Linked DNA regions of Arabidopsis thaliana. The main gene of each other region encodes a partner of the protein of the gene in region 4 in a complex. Each region holds a gene or a part of one and is shown on either strand. Other genes may lie near its edges. The genes, in order: EPF2, EPF1, TMM and ERL1. A codon is read from its position in the direction of its gene.

The links.
Region 1: the proteins of ERL1 (region 4) and EPF2 are in contact, whole or in part, in a crystal structure (PDB 5XKJ), measured with the Arabidopsis thaliana proteins. Residues at the interface, in NP_201029.1 of Arabidopsis thaliana: Trp218 (codon at 3,920), Gly236 (codon at 3,754), Asn237 (codon at 3,751), Thr239 (codon at 3,745), Gln242 (codon at 3,736), Ile243 (codon at 3,733), Gly260 (codon at 3,605), Phe261 (codon at 3,602), Leu262 (codon at 3,599), Gln263 (codon at 3,596), Ala265 (codon at 3,590), Thr266 (codon at 3,587), Leu284 (codon at 3,448), Met285 (codon at 3,445), Gln286 (codon at 3,442), Ala287 (codon at 3,439), Leu288 (codon at 3,436), Ala289 (codon at 3,433), Val290 (codon at 3,430), Phe311 (codon at 3,280); in NP_564442.1 of Arabidopsis thaliana: Thr69 (codon at 1,047), Gly70 (codon at 1,044), Ser71 (codon at 1,041), Ser72 (codon at 1,038), Leu73 (codon at 1,035), Phe93 (codon at 975), Ser102 (codon at 948), Val103 (codon at 945), Ile104 (codon at 942), Tyr105 (codon at 939), His115 (codon at 909), Ser118 (codon at 900), Arg119 (codon at 897), Ala120 (codon at 894).
Region 2: the proteins of ERL1 (region 4) and EPF1 are in contact, whole or in part, in a crystal structure (PDB 5XJO), measured with the Arabidopsis thaliana proteins. Residues at the interface, in NP_201029.1 of Arabidopsis thaliana: Trp218 (codon at 3,920), Gln242 (codon at 3,736), Ile243 (codon at 3,733), Tyr257 (codon at 3,614), Gly260 (codon at 3,605), Phe261 (codon at 3,602), Leu262 (codon at 3,599), Gln263 (codon at 3,596), Ala265 (codon at 3,590), Thr266 (codon at 3,587), Val281 (codon at 3,457), Leu284 (codon at 3,448), Met285 (codon at 3,445), Gln286 (codon at 3,442), Ala287 (codon at 3,439), Leu288 (codon at 3,436), Ala289 (codon at 3,433), Val290 (codon at 3,430), Phe311 (codon at 3,280); in NP_179684.1 of Arabidopsis thaliana: Ala53 (codon at 2,054), Gly54 (codon at 2,057), Ser55 (codon at 2,060), Arg56 (codon at 2,063), Leu57 (codon at 2,066), Met74 (codon at 2,117), Phe77 (codon at 2,126), Pro89 (codon at 2,162), Met90 (codon at 2,165), Ala91 (codon at 2,168), Tyr92 (codon at 2,171), Lys93 (codon at 2,174).
Region 3: the proteins of ERL1 (region 4) and TMM are in contact, whole or in part, in a crystal structure (PDB 5XKJ), measured with the Arabidopsis thaliana proteins. Residues at the interface, in NP_201029.1 of Arabidopsis thaliana: Glu86 (codon at 4,794), Pro89 (codon at 4,785), Gln110 (codon at 4,626), Ile111 (codon at 4,623), Pro112 (codon at 4,620), Asp113 (codon at 4,617), Glu114 (codon at 4,614), Tyr132 (codon at 4,480), Asp134 (codon at 4,474), Pro136 (codon at 4,468), Phe137 (codon at 4,465), Ser138 (codon at 4,462), Lys141 (codon at 4,453), Glu146 (codon at 4,438), Thr156 (codon at 4,292), Gly157 (codon at 4,289), Pro158 (codon at 4,286), Pro160 (codon at 4,280), Ala161 (codon at 4,277), Thr162 (codon at 4,274), Thr164 (codon at 4,268), Gln165 (codon at 4,265), Pro167 (codon at 4,259), Asn168 (codon at 4,256), Lys170 (codon at 4,250), Ser184 (codon at 4,113), Arg185 (codon at 4,110), Leu186 (codon at 4,107), Trp189 (codon at 4,098), Glu191 (codon at 4,092); in NP_178125.1 of Arabidopsis thaliana: Leu108 (codon at 1,964), Ser109 (codon at 1,961), Asp111 (codon at 1,955), Thr112 (codon at 1,952), Tyr140 (codon at 1,868), Arg141 (codon at 1,865), Val165 (codon at 1,793), Arg167 (codon at 1,787), Glu168 (codon at 1,784), Val187 (codon at 1,727), Asp189 (codon at 1,721), His191 (codon at 1,715), Arg210 (codon at 1,658), Ser211 (codon at 1,655), Ser232 (codon at 1,592), Val233 (codon at 1,589), Ile256 (codon at 1,520), Lys257 (codon at 1,517), Asp259 (codon at 1,511), Gln278 (codon at 1,454), Val280 (codon at 1,448), Leu281 (codon at 1,445), Asp283 (codon at 1,439), Gln304 (codon at 1,376), Ala305 (codon at 1,373), Met307 (codon at 1,367), Lys309 (codon at 1,361), Met330 (codon at 1,298), Ile331 (codon at 1,295), Val333 (codon at 1,289).

Annotation. Positions count from the first base shown.
Region 1 is NC_003070.9:12,471,322-12,474,519, reverse strand, and holds EPF2 (Putative membrane lipoprotein), read right to left. Parts: upstream 1,653-3,198; 5' UTR 1,531-1,652; coding exon 1,437-1,530; intron 1,349-1,436; coding exon 1,284-1,348; intron 1,093-1,283; coding exon 889-1,092; 3' UTR 546-888; downstream 1-545. UniProt on the Arabidopsis thaliana protein: Controls stomatal patterning. Regulates the number of cells that enter, and remain in, the stomatal lineage by inhibiting protodermal cells from adopting the meristemoid mother cell (MMC) fate in a non-cell-autonomous manner.
Region 2 is NC_003071.7:8,982,327-8,985,390, reverse strand, and holds EPF1 (epidermal patterning factor 1), read left to right. Parts: upstream 1-1,576; 5' UTR 1,577-1,811; coding exon 1,812-1,899; intron 1,900-1,985; coding exon 1,986-2,212; 3' UTR 2,213-2,528; downstream 2,529-3,064. Other genes in the region: AT2G20870 (cell wall protein precursor), read left to right, coding at 2,730-3,064. UniProt on the Arabidopsis thaliana protein: Controls stomatal patterning. Regulates asymmetric cell division during guard cell differentiation. Mediates stomatal development inhibition. Not cleaved by the protease CRSP (AC Q9LNU1).
Region 3 is NC_003070.9:30,127,279-30,131,388, forward strand, and holds TMM (Leucine-rich repeat (LRR) family protein), read right to left. Parts: upstream 2,372-4,110; 5' UTR 2,286-2,371; coding exon 795-2,285; 3' UTR 541-794; downstream 1-540. Other genes in the region: SUS2 (Pre-mRNA-processing-splicing factor), read left to right, coding at 1-17, 105-296; CBSX4 (Cystathionine beta-synthase (CBS) family protein), read left to right, coding at 2,940-3,053, 3,149-3,417, 3,731-3,974, 4,051-4,110. UniProt on the Arabidopsis thaliana protein: Promotes cell fate progression in stomatal development. In leaves, needed to correctly orient spacing divisions, to limit the number of asymmetric divisions in neighbor cells, and to promote the asymmetric (amplifying) divisions of meristemoids.
Region 4 is NC_003076.8:24,994,476-25,002,155, reverse strand, and holds the start of ERL1 (ERECTA-like 1), read right to left. Parts: upstream 6,021-7,680; 5' UTR 5,724-6,020; coding exon 5,636-5,723; intron 5,068-5,635; coding exon 4,929-5,067; intron 4,823-4,928; coding exon 4,751-4,822; intron 4,655-4,750; coding exon 4,583-4,654; intron 4,503-4,582; coding exon 4,431-4,502; intron 4,315-4,430; coding exon 4,243-4,314; intron 4,148-4,242; coding exon 4,076-4,147; intron 3,985-4,075; coding exon 3,913-3,984; intron 3,801-3,912; coding exon 3,729-3,800; intron 3,652-3,728; coding exon 3,583-3,651; intron 3,498-3,582; coding exon 3,426-3,497; intron 3,339-3,425; coding exon 3,267-3,338; intron 3,175-3,266; coding exon 3,103-3,174; intron 3,014-3,102; coding exon 2,942-3,013; intron 2,846-2,941; coding exon 2,774-2,845; intron 2,689-2,773; coding exon 2,617-2,688; intron 2,538-2,616; coding exon 2,466-2,537; intron 2,380-2,465; coding exon 2,308-2,379; intron 2,224-2,307; coding exon 2,152-2,223; intron 2,078-2,151; and 16 more. UniProt on the Arabidopsis thaliana protein: Receptor kinase that regulates inflorescence architecture and organ shape as well as stomatal patterning, including density and clustering, together with ER and ERL2. Redundantly involved with ER in procambial development regulation.

The DNA.
Region 1 (3,198 bases), on a different chromosome or scaffold from region 4:
TATTGACCATGTCTTCTTGGGATATTTTCAAGCTTTCTTTTTCAAAATGGGAAGACAAAATTAATATAAATAAATTTTTATTTGCCAAAGTCATTGTTTTATTTTCTGATTTAAAATCATTTTTAATTTCATTTTTCATAGTCAAATAACATAGACTAGTCTTCACTTTAAAAAGCGAGACGGAAATAGCTTAAAGTTTAAACACAAAAGTAAAATTTATTACAAATGTTTTTTTCCCCTAAAAACACTTAAAATCTATAGAATATTGTATGCTCATAACATAAATTAGAAATTACGAGAAAATAAACAACTAATAAAAAACAAAACAAAAAAAAAAGTTTTACCAAAAAAAAACAACTAAAAAAATCTTTATTCGTGTACCAAAAAAATGAAGAACAAAACTTTATTCTAACTTCTAAGTTTTTTTTTAAATTAAACCAAAAAAAAAAACGTCTAAGTTTTTGAACAAAAGAAAATGATTTCTTTAACTAATGCAAATCAGATTAATGTAAGAAGATGTAAATTTCAAAACGATCCATAGTAAGAAAAAGTTTATACTTTACACATTGTTACATAAATGATTTTTTTGGTTTAACCGGTTACCGGTATGATGGAGATGGCTTTTAAAAGGAAACAATAAATAATTGGCCAACCGAAGCATTTGACTTTGTGATGTACCGGTTCAAGAATCTGATTCGGTCGTGTCATACAAACTCTCTTTGAAAAGGCCTAATAAAGCCCAATATTAATTATAAGACTTCAAAGTGGGCCAATAGCATTTAATTTAATATCCCAACAAATTGTACAATAGAAAAAAAGTTTCGCCGCCAGCCAAAACTGATATTTTAATCACAGACGTCAAAAAAAAATAAACGGCGGAGATTCAATTCAAGCTCTAGATGGCACGTGATAGTATCTCCCTCTGCACGTGCATCTGTAGATGACGCTACATGATTCGGCGACTGAGCATTCGAAACTAATCATCACACGTTTACACGGCGAACATGCGCCACACGCGTATGAACAATCCGGTAAGCTTGATCCTGTTGGGTACATTTCCATTTCTACCCCTCCGTTTTTGCTTATTTCCTTCTTCACCACATTACAACAAGAAAACAATTAATTGACAATGACTTCTTTTATAAAGAAAAAATTAAAAATTAATTAAAAGAAAAAATCAAATGCAGTTGTTATTATTAAAAAAATATTTTTATATATTAAAATATGGTATTTTTGCACATAAATTAAAATGAGAGAAGTGCACCGTGGGAGACAGGACCTACCTTGTGGTGCGTTTGAGCTTGTTCTATATCGGCGTTTTTCTTTTCTCCGCCATTGACCGTGTTTTCTACATTAAAAAGTATAAAATGTTAATATATGAAAATCATTACCAAGTAAAATATAAACTATAACCAAAAGATATTGATGTGACGGACTTAGTGGCGGCGTGCGAATGGAGTTAACGACCAAAGAACACGCGGCGAAGACTAGGACGAGGCAAAACATATACTTGCGTACAAACTTCGTCATGTTTATAATCTTTTTTTTTAACAAGAAGAAACTTTCTGGTTGAGGCAGAGGTTTTAAAGAGAAGTTTCTAGAAATGATAGGAAGCAAGTACTACGTGTGTTATGTGTTGTGTGTGAAGTATTAAAGGTGGGATAAGTGAGATATGTGTATATATAGTTGAGGAAAAGGTGAGAAAGAATTGGTTATGTGTTTATGATTTATGATAATAAATGATGAAAAGAGGCACACATGTTGAAGGGTCACATGATTCTCGTCGATTTTCTGAGAAAAAATCATTATGATTTATTCTTTTAGTTACCAATGAACATGTTCGCGGGCTATGAATATTTTTGAATATGAGAAACTGTTCACATGTACGTAGCAATAAAGCCTGAGATATGGTTGTGACTTGTGTGCATGTTTTCATGTTCAGTCAGTGGATATATAATATGAAGATCTCATCAATCATATTATAAACCATGGATGAAAATGTTTAACTAGAAGACTATATTTCACTACAAATCATAGTTCAACATAAAACTAAAAAAAAAATTAGTTGAGCATCGATTTATGACCAATACATCATAGTTTATATAAAAAAATATGACCAGTAAATCATATATATATATATTAATATACACAAAGTTCTACCGCTAAAAGACCAAGAAGCCCATCGATCATATTGTACACAAGGATGAACGAATGTATAATTACAAAAGTCGAAGCATTAAATATGTAAGTGTTAGTGGTATCATGAATATAGAGAGAAGTTTTATACGTAAAGATATGGTATATAATATATGGCGTGGGACCAAAAAAGGAGTTACTATAAGGGAATAGTTAATAATTGTAGTCATAAGGTTCACAATGGGAGAGAGAGCAGAGAACTTACAGAAGCAGCCAAAAAGTGTTCAGACATCTTGAAAATAACCTGTCACACAAACGTGAACCTTGCCCTTGGTTTTAATGACCTTTTCCCAAAGCACCAAATAATGAGCTTAGCATATTTTTCAGTTCTTTTTTGTAACGAAGAAATTCCATGTTTTATTGATAGATGATTCCTAGCGTAGGCAGAAATGTTTTCTGGTCACAAAAAGATTCCTAGCGGTTAAACTAGTCCTTTCTTCTTGGTTGATATTTATATAAAATCTGAGCTCCAACAAATATGATGATTAATATGTGTTTTGGTCTAGAAAACATTTTTATGTGTTTCGAAGGTCTAAGAAGAAAGAAATGTTGGTCAAGACTATTTCAGAATTTTTTTCTTATTTTTTGAGTACTTCGTTGATAATTTAAGATATGTCCAACAAAAATGGTAGTCTATAGCAGGCTATCCATATCCATTAACACATTCCAATTTTTAATAATGTCTATTTTGATATTAGATAAATGGAGTTCATGTCCACTAAAACTCATGTCTATTAACGTTCATGTCATTAAAGTTTATGTTCAAATGGGATGTTCAATGGGCATATCAGAACCAAATTTGAACATAATAGTTTTTGGTTCATATTTTAATCAATACATAAGTCAAAAGTCTTATACTTTGAAATATATCTAAAAACAAATTTGAACACAATTCAACAAAGTATCAAATCTAAAAGCAATTAAATGCAAATTTAAACTTCTTATATTTCTCCCTTGCCATCTTTGTCTTCATTAAATAACTCAATATGATCATCTAAGTAC
Region 2 (3,064 bases), on a different chromosome or scaffold from region 4:
TTCGATACATAACCTTCTAATAAGAAGTGTAAAGGCAGGCGTAAAAAAAGATTCGACCTTAAAAAGTAATTAATTTCAAGTCACATGAATAATAATTAAAATGATGTAATAACAAAATAACGAAAACATCTAAATAATGCTAAATAATTATAAAACGCTAAAAATACATCGTTTTTAACTATATTTTTAATAAATGTATTCAGAAATATTAAATTATTTTTCCAATACGATAAAATTAGATAAATGTTATGGATTTTCTTATCATTCACAACAAGGAAAAACTCTTGGATGGTAAACTGAATGGACTTTCAAGGGTTGAAAAATGGAATGTTTTCTGAAGCAGACCGATTTTATACAAGCCCCTCAATTCGCATTAGTAAAACCGATGTCTCCTTGCATAATATGGATTCCAAATATGTTATAATGTCTATTGACATGAAGAACTTAGAAACCTTGGTACATATTAAGATGACGTGGACGCAAGGAGGTGCCAAGGTGGGAGGCTGAAGTCTTAAACTTTCGGCAGATAAAGATAAACAAACTCCAAAACAAAACAAAACAAAAAGAAAACAAAGACAAGGGAAAAGGTTCGTGTTAGAAGAAAAAGTCAACAGCTTAAAGCTTAAAAAGTCGGTGAATGAATGGGTCAGCTCTCTCCACTTTCATTATCTCTCTATGCTCTATCTCTCCAATCATAAAACTTGCTATTCCAATTAAACTTATACACTATCCATTAGTATTTTATGTAGTATTCTTATTAAGATATTTTAACGTGGTCCATCATTCTACTTAATAAGTTTTTCTCTTCTTTTAAATTTATTGGCAGCAGTTTGAGAAAACGATTAGATTGATTAAGAATGCAACGAATGTCAAATCCCAAACCATTATCTTATACCAGTTATATTATGAGTGCTTCATATTTATATATTAACTTGCCAAAGTTTTGAAGATTATACTATGAAGGCTACTCAAAGGGACATTGATTCCTAGAAGATGATTTTATGATGTTAAGCCGTTGACTTTGGTAACTAAATCATTTGACCTTTGATGTTTCTGCCCCCTTTAGCAAATAGAAACTTAATAAGAAAATTTTCATTGAAATTTAGCATCCCAAAGAAAGGTGTAGAAAAGTTATAGTGTAATGTGATTGGTGAGGTGCATGTTCGACACTCTTCAAATGTTGATTGAAACTTTTTTTTGTGTGCAAAGTTGATTGAAACTTTAATATTTTTTCATTAATCGCTTAAAGTGTAGTAGTGTCAAAATATTGAGATGTCAAGTATAGAACATACTATCATTTTCAAAACAATTGTGCAATTTCAGTATAATCAGTATTTAAATCATTAATAACCTCATGTGTAATTAACTCTATTATATTATCGATTTTAAAACACAAGCCCCAAGACAATGTCCCTCATTCTATCTCATCAAATGCTCAACTTTTTTTTTTTAGTAAGAACATTAATTGGGTGCATTAATGAAGGTCACAGAAAAGAAGGGTTATAGAGGGTAAATTAAAGGTGATTGCACACAAAAGTATGTCTTTCAGTTTTTCACAGAGGAAGCTCATGACACTCACCAAAGCAGCACGAATGAAGTTCAAGTTCTTAATTAGGCTTCACATACTCTACATCATCTCCTCAAAATTTATATCATTTCATATGTTCGATCTTGTTTTCATGTGACTCTCTCCTCTTCTCTACCGTGAGTCTCTTCAATTTCCTAACCCTTTGTTAACGATCATATATACCTTGTTTCTCGCCGTACTATTTCATCCCAAATTTTACTTTTACCACTTGCGATAATATATCATGAAGTCTCTTCTTCTCCTTGCCTTTTTCCTCTCTTTCTTCTTTGGCTCTCTCTTGGCTAGGCATTTACCAACATCCTCCCATCCAAGTATGTATCTATGCACATCTTTCTTACTCCAGCTCTTTCACTATCTTCAAGATCTCTAACTTGTTCATGTCTGCGTGCATGTGCAGGTCATCATCATGTAGGAATGACCGGGGCATTGAAGCGTCAGAGGAGGAGGCCGGACACGGTGCAGGTGGCTGGGTCTAGGTTGCCAGATTGCTCACACGCGTGTGGCTCGTGTTCTCCATGCCGTCTTGTGATGGTTAGCTTTGTGTGTGCATCCGTCGAAGAGGCTGAGACTTGTCCAATGGCTTATAAATGCATGTGCAACAATAAGTCCTACCCTGTCCCTTGATCAGCCTCTTCTACACTTATTCTATGCATTCAACCGTTTTGTTTTCCTTTTGCTTCTCCGGGACATGACCATGTGTACGTATACAATGCATCTTTAATTAGTTTCTTTCTTATTATTAATAGGAATCTTAAACACAGTTTGATCCGAGATTAATTAATCAGAAAATATATGGATATCAAAAAATGAAAGCCACTCACCTATTTGGGCTCTCTCGCTGTATTATGGTCCATGAGGCCGTATTTAAGACAGCAACAACAAAAGTTGTAGACAGAATTATATTTAAAAGGCAACAACAAAAGTACGTATACGTTGTTACCACCAAACTTTGGAGGCTCGCTAATAATAACCACACTACCCATTTGTTACACACCCTTTATTTTCAACCATATCATCTCACCTTCGTTAAATGTTCCCACAATTAGCTCAGTATTTTACTATATACATACACACACATTCCCTCCACAGGATCAAACAAACACACGAGCTTTCTCCTCTACAACAAAATAAAATAAAATTAATGGCTTCTTCACTTATCACCTCCGCAGTCATTGTCGTGGTTTTAAGCCTAGTGCTTGGATCTGTAGAGCAAGTGAGTGGACTACGTCACGTTCCCAAGTCCCCTAAGACCACTGATGTCAAACACCCTGACTTTCTTGTAACCATTGAGCCCAAACCAACTATTCTCATTCCCGGTGTTGGAAGGTTCTTGCTTCCTCCCAAATGCAAGAAGCCGTTCTACCCTTACAATCCTGTCACCGGAGCTCCACTTACTGGTGGGGGAATCCCATCATATAATGGTGGACAAGGGGCCGGACCTCACACCCAACTCCCTGGTGGCGATGATACGCTTGT
Region 3 (4,110 bases), on a different chromosome or scaffold from region 4:
TCCTCGGGTTTTACATGGTAAGACAACAGAGTTTGCAATTGTGCTTTTGTCCTTGGATGATATAAACCATTGAAATCTGATTTTTGTAACTGATGTTATGATAGGTTCCTGAGAGTGGACCGTGGAACTATAGCTTCACTGGAGTGAAGCACACGTTGAGCATGAAATACAGTGTCAAACTCGGATCCCCAAAGGAGTTCTATCACGAGGAGCATCGACCCACTCATTTCCTGGAGTTCAGCAACATGGAGGAGGCTGACATTACAGAGGGAGATCGCGAGGACACATTTACTTGAGATATACTCAATTTTCTTACCGTGTGTGTGATTTAGCTTTATTTTGCAGTATAGACTTGTAAGATGTTGTACTGTCTTGTGCTTTACTGAGATAGATAGTAAGGTCCCTAAATCTTAAAAAGATGGTTTGCCACTATAATCAAAATCTTGAATGTGATGTAATCATACGTACGTGTATAACGGAATTTTGGTAACTAACGTCTTCGATGAGAGAAAATAAAACGACAAATTTAAACTATTTTAAGAGGTTTTTCCCATTTCGAATAAACGCCAAATGTACAAAACATGGAAGAACAAGCAATACAAGTCTCTTATCTCCGGAAAGATAAAACAGAGATCAAAGAACAGAGTATATAGACAGAAGGAACACGTTCGAGCTTACAAGTTTTTTTTGTAGCCATAAATGGTGGCGATATTCAATCCAACTAATGCAGAAAAGGCATCTAACTAACATTATTAAACTCGGGAAGTATTTACAGCAGTTTTATCATCCCTCCTCTAACTAGATATTAGCATAAAAATGAAATTAGGGAATACAAGAAAGAATGCAGAAAGATAGGAGAACCCCAAAGACTTGGAAGTGCTTGACACGTCCGTAGCTCCGTCCGGCAAAGCACCGTCTTCTTCTCTAGATAGGTGCTGGACCGTACCGGAAGGAGCTGGTCTCGACGTTTCTGCATCACACAATCTTACAGTTGAACCAGATTTTGAACCGAATGCATCATCCAAGTCACTGTCCCGGTTAACACACAAACCAGCATTGTTATACAGCCTCAGCTTTCTCCTCATCCTCCACACTGTGTCTCTCTCGAACGGTACTGGTCCTGTCAGACTGTTATCGTTGAGCCTCAGCTCGCTTAGATGCTTCACGTCCCGGAACTCCAAAGGAATCTCTCCGGTCAGATTATTGCCCTCTAGGTGAAGGACCCGAAGACTGTTTAACCGAGTCAATGATTTCGGTATCGAGCCCTGGATGTTCGTATTCGAGAGAACAAGAATCATCAAGTTCTTGAGCCCTTTGAACGCGTTTTCAGGAATCGTTGTTGAGAATTTTGTGTTGCCTTTGAGCATTAAAGCTTGAAGAGAGTTTAGGCCTTGGAGAGAAGACGGGAATGGACCTGATAACCGGTTATAGCTCAAATCCAAAAGCACTAATTGGTTGAGCCGGTTAATCGATTCTGGGATAGGACCAGTGACTCTGTTTCGGCTAAGATCGATTTTGATCAACGATCCACAGCTTGTGAGTGTGGGTGGAACCGGTCCGGTTAAAAGATTCTGGTTCAAATCCAGAACGCTCAGCGCCGGAAGAACAAAACCGGGAATGGAACCAGTCAACCGGTTACCACTCAAATCAAGCGATCTTAAACCGGAGAACCGGTTGAACGACAAGGGAATGGAGCCGTTGAGGTGATTTTTATGCAAATCAAGAACTTTCAAATTGGTGAGATTGCCCAATTCGTCAGGGATAGGTCCCAAAAAACCATTCTCCCTCAGAACCAGCGTTTGCAGACTCGAGCCGAGGCGTCCCAGAAACGCCGGTATGCGCTGTGGGGCGCGGCCTAAACATCGGTAGAAGAACAAGGCTTTGAGGTGTTTGAGCCTCGTGAGGGACTCAGAGACGTAAGAGCGTTGTGGATCACAAGTCGGAAACGCCGTGTCGTCTGAGAGCGCTCCGAACGACAGAGAGACCACGTGGTAGACGTTATCCTGGTCCGGCATACACTCGATCCCGTGCCATCTCCCTCGGCAAACGTCTGGAATCGCGGCAGCCCAGTCGTTGCCGGTCGCACGCATAATGTCGTAGACGGCGTCTTGCTCGTCAGGCTCCGTGCGAGCGCCGTCATTGGTCATCGTGAATCCAGTTTGTGGGCCGTCGATCAGAGCAGATGGGGCCGTCGAGTCGGAGGTGATCACAGTGAAAGATCTGACCAACGGAGAAACTATAGACAAGACAATGAATATTTGGCGGAAGAATTCATATCGTGCCATTTCTTAGTTGTTGTTGTTGTGTGAATGCGGTTTAGGTTCGAAATTGTCAGTGTGTATATGTATAATTCTGAAGAAACAATTGGTGGGTCCATAAAAACGTTCGCAATGTCTTTATGACTTTCACGGGATAACTCGAGGAGCGAAATAAATAAAATTCATGATTCTCGATTTCTGCATTTATTGCTTTCACGAGATATTCCCTTCATTCGTCTTGTGTTGGGCCCTAGATCCGACCGCTTCGTGAACGGGACCCGACGTCTCCTTATCGTTTACTTTTTTTTTATTTGGGCTGAGCCCATTTTCCCATTTACGATATGTTGGGCTATTATTCAATTTGTATTTTGAACTGGGCACTGTATTTGTTTTTGTAACAAACCGTAGATAGCAATTGATAAAAAGTTTCATATGTTTGATTCTGAACCTTAAAATCATTATTTTGTTGTAACACGAGAATCTGAATAAACGGACGCGTGGTCTGTGCATACGAAAAGCACATGCCCATGGAGCAACACATGTAATACGTGTCATCTTACTAGTAACATGACATATATGAATAATGAAGTAACTACGAAAGCATCAAAACAAAGATTAGAAGTTCATAAGCCTCGTCCCATTTTCTTTGAGACTTTGACTATCACCCAAATACAAATCTTCATGCAGTCGTACAGCCGTCTGATGCAGTTCAAGGTCAAAGATCTGATGATCGACAAGCGGCGGCTGGTCGAAGTTCCTGATAATGCCACTCTAGGGGACGCCTTGAACACTATGGTAAACCACGGCTAAATAATTGTTATTTTTTTGGTTGGAGTCAACCGTTTTAAGTATCAAGAATTACTAACAAGACTATTCTTGGTATCAAACCGGTGGCAAACCGAGTTAGAGCTGTACCGGTGGCTGCCAAACCAGGCCAATGGCTGGGAGCCGGGGGATCAATGATAGTAGAGTTGGACAAACAGAGCGGAAGTGCAAGAAAACAGTACATAGGAATGGTGACCATGCTCGACGTTGTGGCTCACATCGCCGGCGATGACGGCGAGAGTGGGCTTGATAAGAAAATGGCTGCCCCTGTCTCTTCTATCATTGGTCATTGCCCTGAGGGTCTTAGCCTCTGGTCTCTCAATCCTAATACCAGGTTAATAGTATAGAAGATTTGTAAAATTAAATTGCTTTCAGTATAATTAATCCTTCCCTTTTATAATGTTAGATGTTGTACACTTTTCTCACATAGTAAGAATTCTTTTGCAACACCTAATATATATACCCATATTTCAGTCATTAATTGTTTATAGTTTCATATTTTTTATAATTCAAACTAAATGATAAATTAGAAATTATAATGCAAATTTTTCATAGAAAAATGCAAAACATTTTTCTCTTGTCAAAAATCTTAACATTATATATGAACGGATAGAGTACTAATCAAAGATGGTCATTGATGAAAGCAGCATCATGGATTGTATGGAGATGTTGAGTAAAGGAATCCACAGGGTATTGGTTCCATTGGACAGTAATACAGAAAATATAACAGGACCTGAGTTGGTAGAGTCAGCTTCTGCTTACGCAATGCTGAGTCAGATGGATCTCATCTCTTTCTTCTTCGACCAATCCTCTCAATTGCATGGTATCCTCTCCCACACCGTCACTGATCTCTCCGCTATTCACAACACTGTTTTAGCCCTCACTAGCCAGGTAAATTTCACAAGTCAAGAATTTTCATCTTTATTCATTAAATCCTAAGTTAAACGCTTGTAATGTTTAATACCAGGCTAGAGTGAAAGATGCAATACAATGCATGAGTATAGCAATGCTCAATGCGGTTCCTATC
Region 4 (7,680 bases):
AAACAAAAGCCCTGGAATCTTTCTCTTATATGCTACTTTTGGAGATGACTTCACGGAACTGAACAAACCATTGAGATGCTTCTGCATCAGGATTCCTAACTTCATTCTCTTGCTGCAGCTTTTTGGTTGAGTGATCAAGAGAAGGTAGCTTCTTTGCTACTTGCAGAGATGGGACAAGAGAGAGCAGAACCCTAGAGACTTCAAGCATTGTGGGTCTCTCTAAAGGGTTTCGCTTTGTGCATAAGAGAGCCAGCTGAAATGTCTTCCTGATATGTCCCAAGTCCATACAAGTCACAGTAACCTCTGGATCAACTGCTTCCATCACAGTATTATCATCAGCCTTTGACAATATCTGCAACATAAAAAAAAAAAACGTTAACTCTTTTAAGGTTCAAAGATCATAATCTATAGTGATTCTTGATTCATATACCAGTTGATGCAAGTTAGCTTCGTTATCCACTGCTTTCTTCCCAGTGAGAAGCTCAAGAAGAACAATACCGAAGCTGTATATATCGGATTTCTCATTGATTCGTGAAGTACGAGCATACTCTGGGTCTATATAACCAATTGTTCCCAAAACATAAGTCGAGGCATGGGTTTTGCTAGCTGGTATGCTCTTAGCAATCCCGAAATCAGATAAATGTGCTTCGAAATTCTCATCAAGAAGTATGTTCGATGACTTGATGTCACGGTGAATGATTCGAGGAGTACAATCGTGGTGAAGATAGGCTAGTCCTTGTGCAGCTCCAACCGCTATCTTCAACCTTGTCTCCCAATCAAGCTTCACTTTCTTCAATGACCCTTTTCAAGAAAATAAAAATCAAAACATTTTTACCGTTTATCTGCAAATCAATCTTTCACAAATTGAACCAAAAAAAGTTAGAAGAACTTACCATGAAGAAGGTCCCAAAGTGATCCATTTTCCATGTAGTCATAGAAAAGAAGGTTGCCAGTAGGAGACAAGGCATATCCATGCAAGCTGACTATGTTTCTGTGCCTAATGCTCCCAATGGTCTCAAGTTCTGTCTCAAATTCCCGCAAGTTATGCGGATACTGATTGTAGAGTCGCTTAATGGCAATAGGTCGGGAACTTTTTAATGCACATTTGTATACCGTGCTAGAAGCACCATATCCAATTATAAACTTTTCGTTAAGATTCTCAGTCACTCTCATGATATCATCAAATGTATGAATTGCCATGTCCATGTGGAGAATCACTAGCTTGGTTAACCCTGAGAATCGGTAAAGATTGATATTGTCATATAAGAACAGAATATGAGTTATGAAGAAGTATGAAGGCATCATCATTACCTTCAGCTTGTTTTGAGGAGCCTTGTAGAATCTTCTTCTGCTGCATTGATTTGTAAACTGCAAGGAAAATCATACATAGGAGAGTGATGACGCCAAGAACAATGCAGATCAAAGCACCTCTGGAGAATACTGAAAAGAACAAGAAAAGCAAGCTCAAATAAACAAGAAAAAACATCTATTGAAGAAAATGCTTAATGGATAAATCTAGTAGATACCTCGAGATTTCGGTAAAGGACCACAAATAGATCCAACCCAGTTTCCACAAAGATATGGATTTCCAACAAAGCTATACAGAGGTTATGAATTTAGTTTTACAATGAAAGCTTATGCGTATTGATCATAATGACAGACTACTGAGAGAAGCTTCATACCTGGCTGGAGCAAAACGTGAGAAGTTTTTCATTGGTGGGACTATCCCGGAGAGATTGTTGAAGGAGACATTCCTAAAACGTTTTCGAAGAAAGAAGAAGAAAATGTTGGATTCACAAATCTTCCAAAGGGCTAATATTGCTCATAAGCAAGTATCTCTTGCAGAAGAACTTACAGATTGACAAGAGTGAAGCAGTTCGTAAGCTGATCTGGAATTTTCCCATGAAGCTTGTTGTTGTTCAATATTCTGTACATAAACATAAAGATCAAACCATACATCTATTTTGTATATAATACAAATGATAAGATCATATTATTAACTTACAAAGAGTTTAAATTCTGCAATTGGCCAAGTTCAGTTGGAATAACTCCGGAGAGCAGATTGAATGATACATCACTACAAGTAAAACAGATAAGTCAGAAAAAAAATATGATTTTGATATAACCAAAAGAAGCAACTATAAGCTTTACATCATCTGAATGCTTCGAAGGTTCCCAAACTCTGCAGGTAATTGTCCACTAAGATGGTTTCTGCTAAGATTTCTGTTTAATGAAGCAAAAGATTAAAAGTTAACAAACACAAGAAAAACATTTACAAATTTACAACTTTAAGTGTAAAAGACTTACAATATGAGAAGGTGTTCAAGATCGCCAAGCGTTAATGGTATAGACCCTGAGAAGTTATTGCCAGACAGATCTCTGGAAACAAAAACATATGATGAGTTTGCAGCAAATTCAAACTGAAACATAAAACCAAACGATGTAACAAAGTTGAGAAGACATACAGTTTGTCAAGATTGATTATATGTCCAAGCTCAACTGGTATTTTTCCCTTGAAATTGTTCGACGAAAGATTCCTGCATCCAAAAGGATTCAACAGTCACTATAATGTTTAGAGGGAAGCAATGTTACAGCATTGTATTGAATGAAACTCACAGATAAGTCAAGCTCCCGAGATTGCGAAACGCCAGTGGAATAGATCCACTCAAGAGGTTCCCATGAACATTGCTGAATTCAAGTAGAGCAGCAGAATTTAGGTTTGTGAATAAGAAGAGTAAAGCATGAATTCAAAATGAACTATCTTATAGCTTACAATTGATTCAAGGCTGCACATGAACTAATGTTGGATGGTATGGGCCCTACTAAACGGTTGTTGGCAAGATTCCTTTCATGTCAAAAAATGGATCAGTAAAAACAAGGATCAAATGTAATGCTTCAACAGCTAAAGTGAAAAACTTTAGAGCAAGGAAAAGAAACTCACAGTTCAAACAATTGCTCCAGCTTTCCAAGCTCAGGTGGAATAGTTCCCACTAGTTTATTGTCGTTTAGCTGCCTTCAAAATCGGTAAAAGAAAAGCAAAATAGATAAGTATATGGAATGCGAAAGCTATGTAAACAGATTTGAAGTTTAAAACAAGCTTACAAATAGCTGAGACGTGACATATTCCCAAGCTCAGAGGGGATTGGACCAGTGAGCATATTGCCATGGAGATACCTATTTCAACAAAAAAAAAAGGTATCAATGCATATGCCAAGAGCTGATTAGCTGAACATATGAGATACTACAGTTATACAAAAAAGACTCACAACTTTCCGGTAAATGAGAGATTGCCAAGTATCGGTGGGATAGGACCAACAAGCTCATTGTCACTCAAATCCCTGTGAATTGAATAGGATTCACAAAGTCAGACGAGCCAAATTCAAGAATGTACTTTGTCGTTACTTTTCCATATGAATTGAACTTACAAAACAGCAAGAGCCTGCATTAGACCAATAACTTCTGGAATTCTACCCGTCAATCTGTTTCCTTGAAGTGACCTTCAAAAAGTAATAATACACAATTCAATAACCGCATGTTAACAATTTACTGATGAAACTAAGGTAAAAGAGGCTCAATACTCACAGAGTAGCAACTTGGAGGAAGCCGATATTGTAAGGAATCTCTCCTGTTATCTGATTATAAGATATGTCCCTGTAATATCAAAAGGTATGAGTCCAAAATTCACTCCTATAGTGGAAGTCTAATGTTTAATTTAAGATGGCACATACAGGATTTGAAAGCTTGTGCAATTTCCGATGCTCTCCGGGATGGTTCCAGTTAGATTATTTCCTCTCACATCACTTCCAACAACAAAACACAAGTTAAAAAATATAACTCAAGACTTGAATGAATCAAAGAAGGACCAGGATCTATACAAGACTCAAAAGATGGCAGAGCGTTGGATCCACTTACAAGTACCACAAACCGGTTAGCTGACACATATCAGAAGATAACGTTCCAGTCAACATATTCCCTCGTAATCCACTGCAGAAAGAAAGTATTAGAAGGAGAAAATTAACTTCTTCTATGGTGTAGACTATATTGAGATCAGAGAAAATGACTCTGACGAACTTACAGATACTGCAAAACTTCATTCCAGTAAAGCAATCTCGATATCTCACCCGTTAGATGATTGCCAGCAAGATCACTGCAACATCATGATTGGAAAAAAGAAAATGAGTAAGTTCAAAATCTATTCCCAAATTTTGATTCATGAGTAAATGATGTAACTAAAGAACTCACAGTCTCTTAAGGTTTGGAATCTGGGTTAAGGTTGCTGGTACAGGACCTGTGAGCTGATTGTTCTTCAGATTCCTGATACATCCACAAGTTCAAAGGTTCACAAAAATCCACTCGAAAAAAAAAAAGAACAAGTAGACAAAATTTGAACTTTGAATCGGAAAAACAAAATGTTGAAGTATAACACATACAGAGTTTCAAGCTGCTTGAGTTTAGAGATTGAGAAAGGTATGTCTCCATATAACAGATTCTCGGACAAATCCCTGTACAACAGAGGATATGGACGTCAAAACTAAAGACATGAAAATTGAAAACTCAAAAAAACAAGTTTAATAAGACTTACAGATAAACAAGAGAAGCACAGTTTCCAATCTCATCTGGAATTTGACCTGCTAGTTTATTACCTTGCAAGTCTCTGCAATTGGAAAAAGCCTTTATGAACAAAAGCTACAACATTTCAAAGTTCAAACATGCAAATCAACAGAGAAAGAAAGGGAAAAAAAACCATTACATTGATTGCAAATTCCGTAGGTCTCCAATAGCTGGAGATATCTCCCCTCCAAGATTCAGACTGGACAAATTCCTTCACAAAGTAAAAATAGAAAAAAAGCAGAATATTACAAGACCACAAAAGAGAGACATTTTTCAACAACACAAGAATTATTATTGAACTCAAATAAGATTCTTACAGAGAGACAACGGAGTAGCTAACGTTGTCGCAGAAAACACCTCGCCAAGAACACAAGTCACTGTTGTGAACATCGTCCCAATCCAAAAGCATATTCACTAAGTTGCTGAAAGAGCCTTTTATCGCCATCAGAGCTTTCCCTGTGGGTTTTCAAAATTCATAAACAGACTCAACTAGGATTAGTAATAAATCATTTGAAACGCGGAACATCAGTCACATAGTTAAATATACATAAACCAAAACTAAGGAATTTTTGTAAATTTCATGTCCTTTCTCTCCAGGACACTAGGGATTAAGCTTCGTTTTTTTCTCGGGAAACAGCTTGAAAAAAACACAAACTTTCCATGGTACAGGAACAGGCATTCTCTGTGTACTAATCATGATCAAATTTCTTGGGAAATGGAGAAAAGATTGCATCTTTATATGCATTTGATGAAGAACAAGCCAGAGCTAAGTATTGGGTATGAAAAAGCTTTCAACTTTAACTCTCTTTTTATGGGGAAACCAAATGTTTGACATAAACCAAAGATTATATGTCATGATAACTTCTAACACAGACGATTTTAGATTCAAACTTTCAGAAAAAATCAGAGAATGGGTTTAAGGAGATATACCTAACTAAACCCTAATTTTTGAAGCACATAATCAAAATTTTAAACAGAGATCACAAGAAAAAAGACAAAAACAAAAGAGTTAGAAGAAACAAACCTTCGTTGTTCATAGCCGAAGCAACACCAAAAACCATAAAACCCACCATTGCTAAAGATAAAACCATTCGCTGCATCTTCTCCTTCATTTTTTTCTTCTTATTCTTCTTTCCTTTTGGGGTAATAAGCCAAGAAGCTCGTTGAAGTTTTGATTCAATAACAACAAAGCAGAGGAAACCAAAACACAAAAGAACGAAACTTCAGGCTTGTTCTGCCATTGTTGCAGAGAGAAAAGGGTACCAAAACAGGTGATTAGCGTGAACTGCAAGAAATGCAGAGCCAGAGATGTTAAAGAAGAGAGAGACAGAGAAATGGGGAGAGAGAGATAATGTACTAGAGCCCTATATAACTAGCCATGAAAGAGAATACTAAGACCACGACAAATCTGTCAGAGTGTGAGAGTATATATGTATGCAATTATATACACACACTTATATCATTTACTACTTAAAACTCTGATCGAACCATTAACTATGATAATAATGTCACGTTAAAACATTAGCCACTTCTAATTAGTATATGATCTTCACTCTCACACGCATTAACATTTTTAGTAAACGGAGATAAGTAACGGCGTTAGGAATTAAGAAAGGTTGATTTTGACGGTGACATGACCCGCCGTTTGTTGTAGACGCCGCTTTCCAATGCATGGTAATATTCCACTGTGTAAAAACCTCGGTCACGCGCTAGATTTGTAGCGCGTGTTTGATCCAACGGTGGATGATTCGAGTAAACAGGGTTAAGAGGATGGGAAGCGATGTAGAGAAACTGAACTATGCTTTTCCTTGTGAAAGTTAGTTAATGCTTTGATAGTGATTGGGGACACCGGTTGGACCGGTTTGGTTTTGTGGTTATACGTTTTTCGACCGTTAGTTTTTTTTAGCCAATATGATTGGTTTTCTTTTATGTTGATGTGAATTTTTTACTATCTTATAGTTATAGTTATAGAGACCATGTCACATGTTGGTTTTTTATGGATTGATTTCACAATTAAAGCTGTATGAGTGGGACGAAAAAAATTGGTGGAATTGTACCTTGCGATAAATACAAATGAGAGTCATGTTTATATATACCATAGTTTATATTATATGTGACAAAAGCTCCGAGGCTCTAGGATAACTCTAATCGTTCGAGATTAAGCCAATATTCTATCTTGTTCTTCCAATAATGTTTGATTTAATTGTGTGTACTGTGTTATATGGAAATGTATCGGTAAATAGTTTAGTATAAGGATTTGGTTTTGTTAGATTAAATTGGTCCGACCGTATCTTTATTTTGCATAGTTTTGGATCTTTAGGTCTCCAGAGTCCTTTTTGTTGTACAGTCGTACTATACGGTCTAAACCGCCCTATCGGTCAAACTTTTGGGGAAGACTAAAATATACAAAAATTATGTTGTTTACATAGAAATGGTTTTGATTAATGTAATTGTTTATAGTTGAGGAACCTTCTATTCTTGAAAGTTAAAATACTTCGAAACGATTCAAGAATATAACCCAAGGGGAAAAAATGCAAGTCTTAATAGTACTTCAATCTATTTTGAAGTTTACTCAACGTTTATATGTTTACCAATAACTAATCATCATCATATTGGTTTTATTCGTTCTAATAAATGTTGGAGGAATTTTGTATCCACGAGAACCAAAATTAATAAAAGAATAGAGTAGGTTCAGCTGTATGCGTCTCTAGTACTTTCTATAGACTAGTAAATAGATGCATGGGTTCAGCTATATGACCTATGTGAGAATTATGACCACACTTGAACATTTGATCTGTTATATATTTTTCAATTCCGGCTTTGCAATATTCAATCGGTATTCATAGTAACCTTATTATTCAACTACGGTTTTGTCAGTTGAGTAATCGTTTTAAGTAATTTATTTACCTAATAATCAGAGTTTATACTTATTAATAAAGCTCGTAGGCTTCTTCCACTATATATATAAATGTTACATGCCTCTATATCGTGGGCATAACCTTGTTGATGTAATGAAGTATGAACATTTTAGGCATTTTGTTTTCTACTTTTACAAAAATGGTAAATTGC